Linked DNA regions of Nothobranchius furzeri. The protein of the gene in region 1 purifies or fractionates together with the protein of each later gene. This does not show direct contact. Links are inferred from orthologs where the notes say so. Each region holds a gene or a part of one and is shown on either strand. Other genes may lie near its edges.

Region 1 (4,592 bases):
TTTTGACCTTGTTTTAGAAGTGTTCTGCAGTGTGTTTTTAGAAACACGACCAGTGTGAAACTTTCCCACTGACCCATCCCCTTCCCAGGTCTACAGAGGATCTACTCACTCACCAGGTCGGGTGGTTTCGAGTTACGTATTGACATGGCCGACTTTGACAACGCCACAGCTTTTGCTCATTACTCAGACTTTTCTGTTGGTCGAGACTCTGTGAACCCAGAGGAGGATGGCTACCCACTGCTGGTGGATGGGTACTCTGGGACTGCAGGTACTGAACAGTACTACCTTTACCACACATTCCTGGTACAGCTTTAACACCGATGCTCTGCCTCCTCCAGGTGACTCTCTCCTGAAACACTCGGGGATGCGATTCACCACCAAAGATCGTGACCAGGACCAGTCTGAGAACAACTGTGCGGCGTACTATCAGGGGGCGTGGTGGTATCGGAACTGCCATACTTCCAACCTGAACGGGCAGTACCTCAGAGGAGGCCACGCCTCCTACGCTGATGGTGTTGAGTGGTCCAGTTGGACCGGCTGGCAGTACTCTCTTCAGTTCACTGAGATGAAGATACGACCCAGAAAACTTGAGTCCTAAACCAGGATCTTGGACATCAAACCAGCCAGGACCTGATATCAGTCCTCACCTGTTAAATAAAGTGTGACAACTATTTTTTCTACCTGTAAACAGCGGATGGGTTCCTGTTCACAGTCTCTATAGGCGGTACTTGTTTCTGTATGACTAATGTTTGGTTACATATTAGGGAGGTTTTAATATTAAAGGATCCGCTGCTCTTCCATTTGTCTCCTTGCTTAAATCTGATTTTAGATATGAATAAAAAACTGACATTTGCTGTGACATTTTAACAGTGTTTCAGTATTTTCTCACAAGTTCATGAACAAAAACAGAATAATATTCAGTAAAAAGCCAGCTAATGGTGCGGAGAACACGCTAACTCCATCCACGCTGTACCAGTTTGTCTGTGGAGTCGGGGGGTGTTTAAAACCGCCTTGCAAGGCGATGTCTTGTCACCTGACTACTCCACTTTTTAAAAACTTTGTACACCAACAAGTAAAAAATTCTTTGTATTTGATAGTGCAATAGGCTGAAGCCAAGACTCAGTTGTGCCTGTCAGACATGTTGCACTGTGCTCAGTTGTGTCATTGCAAGTAGAATAGTAAAATATAAAGTGAAACATTCAAAATGAAATATTTATATTTTAATGTAATTACAGTCTTTTCTCGCTACAAGATTTTCAGTGTAAAAGGTTTTGCTGCTACGTCAAACTAAGCCAAATAATGCTGTCTAAAATACAACAATAACAATGTAGTCTTTTACATCTTTAATCGGTCGTTAGGGATGGTAAGAATACTATTATGGATATCTGAATATTGTAAATTTTTACTAGCAAATAGGACTTAGTGCTTTCTGAGAGTGCCTAATAAATGTAAAAACGGCTTGCCATACATTCTGATTATACGGGGTTCGGATATGGCGTCATCACGTATCTACAAACATCCTGCGATTCGCGGGAAAATGAAAAAATGGCGATTGTGGGAGTTTGAAGTGAAGGCAGAGACTGCGGTGAGGACAGAGACCAAGAGACAAAGACGGAGGAAGGGACGAAGACCGGGGACAGACTAGAAGAGACAGGGGGACAGAGCAGAAGGGGCTCGCCGGAGGACCTGTGACCCTCCGCGGCTAACGGTGCAGTTCGGAGCGCCGGATAACGGGAGAGGAGGACACAGCCCGCATCAGATGAGGTGAGACGGCTCAGTGGAGAACCGGCTCCGGTTCTTGACAAGTCGGCTTCATTATGTGTCTGTGATTAAAAAAAACGTCAGTGTTAACCCCGTTTTATTGTAACTGGGTCTTGCCGGTAGTTTCTGGTCGGTAACGAGCTCAGGGTGTGGTGGTTATGTGGTTAGTAGGTTAGTTAACGGTCTGTGGTGGAGGGATGCACTGCGCATGCTCACACATGTCAGAAACCCCCTTGACAGTTCAGGAATGAATCAGAGTTCGACCGAGAGTTCCTGTGCGCGCGCCTTTTGTCTGCTTGTTCTGCTCAACGGTCTCTCTCTCTCCCTCCTTCCCAGGATGTTTGAGGACCTGGTCCAGGCCTTCTCTGGTGTGGAACATCAGGTGTGTCCAGGGGGCGGGGCATGTCTTAGTGGACCAATCCCAGAGGATGTTGAGGGGCCGGAGTCTTGCCTGACTATTGGTCAGTTCGTGCTCTGTCATTGGTCAGATGGACTGTACTATGTGGGGAGGATACAGAGGGTGAGTCCAGCTTCAGACACACCTGACATCACACTGTCAGTAGCATCACCTGACTGGTCGAGAGCTCAAAATGCTGTTCTGACTGATGAACAGGTGAGCTCCCCCAGGCAGAGCTGCTTCGTCACCTTCGAGGACAACTCCAAGTTCTGGGTGCTGTGGAAGGACATCCAACATGGTGAGACGGTTAGCTAACTAGCCAGTCACTTTCCCTTTAACTAGTCGGTTAGTCTGATTATCCTGATAGGTTATCGGAAGAATGGGTCAGCGGAAAACATGGATTATGAGTCTTCCTCATTAATATTCATGACGTGGGTTAGGGAGACTACATTAGGCATCAAGATGGTGTCTCCAGCTGAAGATGTGATGATGAGCTTTCAACCTGAACACAACTGGACCAGAACCACACATGGGGAGCCTAAGTCGCATAGTCCAAAACACAATATTACCTTTCGTTTGAGTCGAACTACAACATGCGCGTGATTCTGAGGAAAAGCCTAATCGCTTTCATCGCCCCGTTCACTTACGTTCATTTTTTCTTTGTTCTGGGGACTCGTGAGCCGACCGGGAGGGGAGGAGACTTAGGCTCCCTTCTGATGCATGAAAATCTGTCCAATCACATTACAGCTGGGATACCGGGGGAGGAGCCTCACTGCTCCGTGTGCAACGGAGTGGAGCCAAAATCTGAGAACCAATCAAAACACACCAATGGAATTCTGATTTGTGGAAAGTGTGGCATAGGTGAGTCTGGTGGGTTGGACAGAGACTGGCTGTGTGGAGATGGTGTCCCCTCACCTGTTTTACCCGTGTCTCTGGCAGGTTTCCACCAGCAGTGCCATGTTCCTCCAGTAGAGGGCGATAGCAGCGACCTGAGACCGTGGTTCTGCAGGCGCTGTGTTTTTGCTCTGGCTGTGCGGGTACCGGTTTTCCTTCCTGCCCTTCCTTCCTGTCTCTGATTGGTAACCCCACATGACCGGTCCTCCTGTGTCATCACAGAAAGGCGGTGCCCTGAAGAAAGGAGCGCTGGCCAAAGCTCTTTGGGCCATGAAGCAGGTTCTGCCTTACGACCTGACCTCTCTGAGCTGGGACTCTCAGCATAGGACCAATCAGCAGCAGTGTTACTGTTACTGTGGTGGTCCTGGAGAGTAAGTGTGACCAATCAGGACCAAGTCTGTCCAGGTGTGTTGAACCGGCAGCTGATGTTGTTCTGTGTGCAGGTGGTACCTGAAGATGATGCAGTGTTTTAAGTGTCAGCAGTGGTTCCACGAGGCGTGTATTCAGTGTCTGCAGGAGTCCATGATGTTTGGAGACAGGTTCAGAGACGGAAACTTCATCCAGTCCACAATTCCTCCTGTGGAAAATCCTGACTGTTGTCTGGTTTTTCTCAGGTTTTACCTGTTCCTGTGTGCCGTGTGCAACAAAGGGTCAGAGTATGTCCGCCGTCTGTCCCTCAGGTGGGTCGATGTGGTCCACATTGTCCTTTACAACCTGTCAGTCAGCAGCAAGAAGAAATACTTTGAGTTGGATGAGATTCTGGCCTTTGTCTCTGCCAACTGGGACCAGTTACAGCTTGGAAAGGTAACAGAACCTTCTGATCCAGAGCATATGTTCCCCGGGGGGCGTGATGGAAAGGCATTGAGAAACACTGGTTTAAAGTAACGATTGATAGTTGTTTTTTTTTTTACTTTAAGCTTGAGCTTTAACATTGGTCTCAGTGATTGTTGAGTTAGAAACTTGACCAGTTTCATGTTTGGCACCACTGCAGCCCCCTGCTGACTAAAAATCGCCCTTGATAGTTTTGTGGAGCGGGTAAGTGTCCCACATGGCGCTCAGTTTGCCGATCATCAATAAGAAGTTTGCTTTTCAAGTAAAAGTAAGTGAGTAATGTATGTGAAGGCGAAGCAGAAGAGCTAAAACCAGAGTGAACATCAGCGCAGCCTACACTCGTTTAAGGGAGCTAAACAAAAACATGGACTGATGGTGACCTGGCTTTGTTGCTACAGGACTTGTAAGTAATAATATTTTTGTCCGACAGTTTGGATTTTTTTTACTTACTGGCTTATTTTAGTATCAGTTGGCTGATGTTAGTGTTAGCTGATTGTTAGCGCTAGCTACAGCGAGCTGCTGGAGGGTTGTTTACGACAGTTGTAGTTCCACTTTCAACCAGTAGGGCAGAGGAGCAGGAAACTGCTTTTAGGGCAAGTGGGCATGTTTCCCATAGACATGATTATGAAGACGCCCCATTGGGCGCTGGAGATCGTAACTGCGTCGCTGCCATATTGGATGGGTTCCTCACTTTCTAGATGCTGCGCAG
Region 2 (4,420 bases), on another chromosome or scaffold:
TATCATTTTAAGTCCGATCTAAAACGATTGACCTGGTTCCTCCTGTCAGGTCGAAGCTGGGCCGCCACCACCACCGAGGGCCTGTTGATCTACTCCCTAGACGGGTCTCTGGTCTTCGACCCATACGATCTGGATCTGGACGTGACGCCGACCAGCATCCGAAAACAGCTGCGCCTAAAGGAGTGGATGGCGGCCATTGTCCTGGCGTTCCGACTCAACGAGAACGCCCTGAAGCAGGAAGTTCTGGAAACGGTGCCGCACGATCAGAGTGAGTGGCTTTAAAAACCGTCGGCCAGGAGAGTTTGGACCTCTGACGCCTGACTGAGTTTGTGTTTCAGTCCCGGTGGTCTGTGGCTCTCTGCCCGACGTCTACGTGGAGAAGCTCCTGGGCTTCGTGGCCGATTGTCTGGAGAAGTCAGGTCACCTGCAGTTCTACATGACCTGGGCCCAGAACCTGCTGATGCTGCACGGACAGAAACTAAAGAACAGGTCGACACGGCTGCCTCGACTCGCATCATCATTATCATCATCAGTGTCTTAACTGGATCTCTTATGGTCCGCAGGTCTGGCTCGGTTCTGCCCACGCTGCAGGCGCTTCAGAAGAGCATCCAGAGACACTTTGACAACCTGTCAAAGCTGTACGTCTCAACACTGTTGCTCCATTAATCATCATAACTAAAATGAAGCATTAAGTCATTAAATATATATATTTATATATATTTTTTTTCCACAGCTGCAACTTCAACATGTACAACATCCGTTACGCTGTGGCGCTTTCAAAGCAGAAGTGTGTAAAGAGGCCTGCCGAGGAGGAGGAGAAAGAAGAGCAGGATGAAGGGTTGTCGGAGGAGATGAGCGAAGCCTCTTTAGATGACTCAGAGATGATCTTGTAGTCTGATTACTAAAAATGTCTCAGATTGACAGATGTTCAACTGTAAAAGTCCATTTTTCCATACTTTAAATATTAAAATAGCCTGTTTTTATAATAAATTCAGTAAAAGTGTCTTTCTTGTTTTTGGCTTTTTTCTGGTAAATTTATTCATTTGAGAGGCTGCTACGGGTTAATCTTTCAATTTGGCACGCAAAAAATATTTTTGGAGTTATTTCTTACTTATATTAGAAATTTACACTTAAAGACTGAATTGCCATTTGTGGTTAAAACTAGCTTTGCTGGGCAGTATTAAGTCAAAAGAAGTATTTCTAGAAATATAAAAGAACAAATCTAAAATATTATTTTTATTTAATACTAACAAAGGTAAATAGTACGACATTTTCAAGGAAAAAATACATTTTTACAGCTGAAGAATGTGGAAATATTGCCTTGAAATGTCCCAAGTTACTGTGTTAGACATTTAAATGTACAATTTAAGAGCAGAATGTATTCTTTTTAACAAATAGGTTGTTTAGGGAGTTAAAAAAAACACGGGATTTACTATTTTTAAACCGATCTGAATCCTGTCCAAAGTGAAATAAAGCAGAAAACTCAAAAAGTGGAAGCTTCTCCGTCAGTAACTAAACGTGACCAACAGGGGGTGACAGAGCGCCTTCTGAAAGTTCACCTTGCCTTAAATTAGATTGAAGAAGAAGGAACAGCGGGCGGGTTAGCCTTCGGAGCTAAAATGAGAGACAAGAGCCTGTCTGAAGCGGGAAAAGAATTACCGGCCAAAAAACAAAAACTAAGCAGTGACGAGAACAGCAACCCCGATTTGTCAGGAGACGAGAACGTAAGAGCTCTATAAACATTTCTGCAACTACAAGTGAACGTTTTAGCCGGTTAGCTCAGCGCTAAAGCAAGAAGCCGGAAAGCTAAAGAGCTTAGCTAGCTGGCATCTTTGTTCACCTGCAGCTGTGGTTCTGATGGTGGTAATGGCTCTAAATCAGTCTATGTGACCCACAGAAGCATGGGCTTTTATATTTAACCTCAAAAAGCCTGGCTTGTTCGATTTAGCTTCAGCAGGAGTGATTTAGAAGCTTGTATTTATTTACAAATTCCTAAAATAAGTGTTCAAATGCAGTTTATAATGTTTATTTTTCATTTTGAGGAAAGGAAAAACTTGCTGGTAGTCTGTTTTTCATGTTAAAAGTGCTTCAAACATTTGTTTCACTTATTTCTGTCCAAATAAAGCCTAGGTTTACTGGTACTTGTCCAATAAAATGAATGTGGTTAGGTTGGGTGTTTTGTTTTGGACATCTTGTCTTTCAGTAACCGCATCTCTGGTTTACAGGATGATGCGGTCAGTGTTGAAAGTGGGACCAACACTGAGCGTCCAGACACCCCCACCAACACCGCCAATGCCCCAGGCAGGAAGAGCTGGGGCAAGGGCAAGTGGAAGTCCAAGAAGTGCAGATATTCTTTTAAATGTGTTAACAGTTTAAGAGTGAGAATGTCTGCTGTTCTAAATACATTCAAATATCATCATTTACAGAATTTAGTTTACAGGTGAAGTGGGAGTGAAACTTTGTGGATATTTTTCAGGAGGACCATGGCCAGCCACTGTTTGGAGTCCAGTTTAACTGGCACAGTAAGGAAGGAGACCCACTGGTGTTCGCCACAGTCGGGAGTAACAGGGTAACCCCAAGCAGACAGATTTTATTTGGCTTTTTCTGGGTGTTTTCATGAATTTTTCTAGTTCAGAATCAATTTTCTGCTCATCAGTTCCATATCTTGCATGATAGAAAGATGGTGATGCCTTTCAAGCAATCAGACGTCCTTTTGTGTCTGATAAGCTGCTTCAAGTGTCCTTAATTTACTGTTACAGAAAATAAGAGATTTGACAAATTTTAAAGAATGATGATTATTCAGGACTTTTTTCATTAAAAATACACATTTCTTGTTGTGAAAAACATTTAGTTTTACATAAATGATATTTCTGATTTCTCTAACAGGTAACCTTGTATGAATGCCACTCTCAGGGAGAGATCCGACTGTTGCAGTCGTACGTTGATGCAGATGTATCCTTCCTGCTTTGGCTCAAACTAAACTTCACAAAAAGGAATCTGTTGTTCTTTAATTTAGATACAGATCAGTAAATGAAGATTTACAGATATGTTAACCCTTTAAGCGCCAAAGTCGCAGAATTGCGACAAGCAGCAATGTTGGATTTAATAAGCCACAGCAGCAGAAATGAGCCCTCATGCATGGGGAATGTGGTGGCGGTGATCGGGCCGTTGAAAACTCTGCTGGTGATCAATTCAGCCCCTGTCTATCAGCTATCCTCTATTATCTATCTATATCTATCATCTATCTAGCTATCATCTATCTAGCTATATAAATGTGTGTATAATAATAATGATTATGATGACAGTAAAAGATGTGTTCAGCAAAGGAGGTCAAGTTCACCTTATCCAGCTAACAGAGTTCAGATAAACATAACTTCACATGTTTTTGACGCATGACCAAAGCTTTCTTCCTGAGAGAGTGGGTGTGTCCTGTGAGTTTGGTAAAACTAACCATTATAGTAACCATGTGTGTGTGTGTGTGTGTGTATATATATATATAACAATTATAAACCAAATAAACTATAATTAAAGAAGGGATGAGTGAAATGTGTTCATGACACTGAAGCACCAAAAACAGTGTTCTTGATTGATACGCAGTAAACATAACAAAATACCAATAAAGTAATATGTGTATATATATGTATATATATATATATATATACACATACATAGTTATATACATATTCCTATGTACACATATATGTATCATAAACAATAACAACACTAAGAAAATAAGACAAACAAATCCGCAAATGTGATGCAATCCAATATGGCTGCTATCTGATGATGTCATAGTATGAAAATTGTGTGAGTGAATTTGTTCCTATCACAAAATTTGGCTCATACTGAAGATTTTTCTAATTTACAATATTCCTCTATCTCTAACCAGATTTAAGCTACAAGCTCTTTAAGTAGTGATATGAAAAACTTATATTTTACTGAAAAAACTATGGCGCCTAAAGGGTTAATCATCTTTTTCTCAACATCTATTTTGGAAAGACCCAAGAGTTGATCAGTAGCTGCAGAAATGTCAGAAACTTTTTGATTTCTGCGATTTTCTTGACTGAACGCGTTCCAAGGCAGATGAGAACTTCTACACGTGTGCTTGGACCTATGACACCAACACCAGCCACCCGCTGTTGGCTGTAGCCGGGTCCCGCGGCATCATTCGGGTCATCAATCACATCACAATGCAGTGCATCAAGGTAGTCTTCCTGTAGAGAACCTCTTTGAAAATGTGGCTTTGAGGGTCATTTAGTAGTGTGTTTGTTTCCCATCCAGCACTACGTGGGTCACGGGAACGCCATCAACGAGCTCAAGTTTCACCCAAGGGATCCGAATCTTCTCCTGTCTGTCAGCAAAGGTAAAGCCCCTGATGGTGATGGTCATCGACACGCCTCCAGATGCTCCTGGATCTTTT

The links.
Region 2: the proteins of phf19 (region 1) and eed purify together in Homo sapiens (affinity purification with mass spectrometry; 8 studies listed by BioGRID and IntAct, counting the BioPlex papers as one, with this or other methods). This does not show direct contact. The link is inferred for Nothobranchius furzeri from reciprocal best matches to the Homo sapiens genes PHF19 and EED.

The regions. Positions count from the first base shown.
Region 1 is NC_091750.1:35,546,986-35,551,577, reverse strand, and holds the start of phf19 (PHD finger protein 19), read left to right. Parts: upstream 1-1,487; 5' UTR 1,488-1,759; coding exon 1,760-1,764; intron 1,765-2,097; coding exon 2,098-2,281; intron 2,282-2,374; coding exon 2,375-2,456; intron 2,457-2,905; coding exon 2,906-3,019; intron 3,020-3,097; coding exon 3,098-3,195; intron 3,196-3,274; coding exon 3,275-3,423; intron 3,424-3,495; coding exon 3,496-3,591; intron 3,592-3,666; coding exon 3,667-3,856; intron 3,857-4,592. Other genes in the region: fibrinogen C domain-containing protein 1, read left to right, coding at 89-268, 339-598.
Region 2 is NC_091743.1:86,053,233-86,057,652, forward strand, and holds the start of eed (polycomb protein eed), read left to right. Parts: upstream 1-1,550; 5' UTR 1,551-1,619; coding exon 1,620-1,724; intron 1,725-2,225; coding exon 2,226-2,378; intron 2,379-2,476; coding exon 2,477-2,569; intron 2,570-2,886; coding exon 2,887-2,952; intron 2,953-4,079; coding exon 4,080-4,205; intron 4,206-4,281; coding exon 4,282-4,363; intron 4,364-4,420. Other genes in the region: pwp2h (PWP2 small subunit processome component), read left to right, coding at 50-268, 339-489, 564-638, 734-893. UniProt on the Homo sapiens protein: Polycomb group (PcG) protein. Component of the PRC2/EED-EZH2 complex, which methylates 'Lys-9' and 'Lys-27' of histone H3, leading to transcriptional repression of the affected target gene.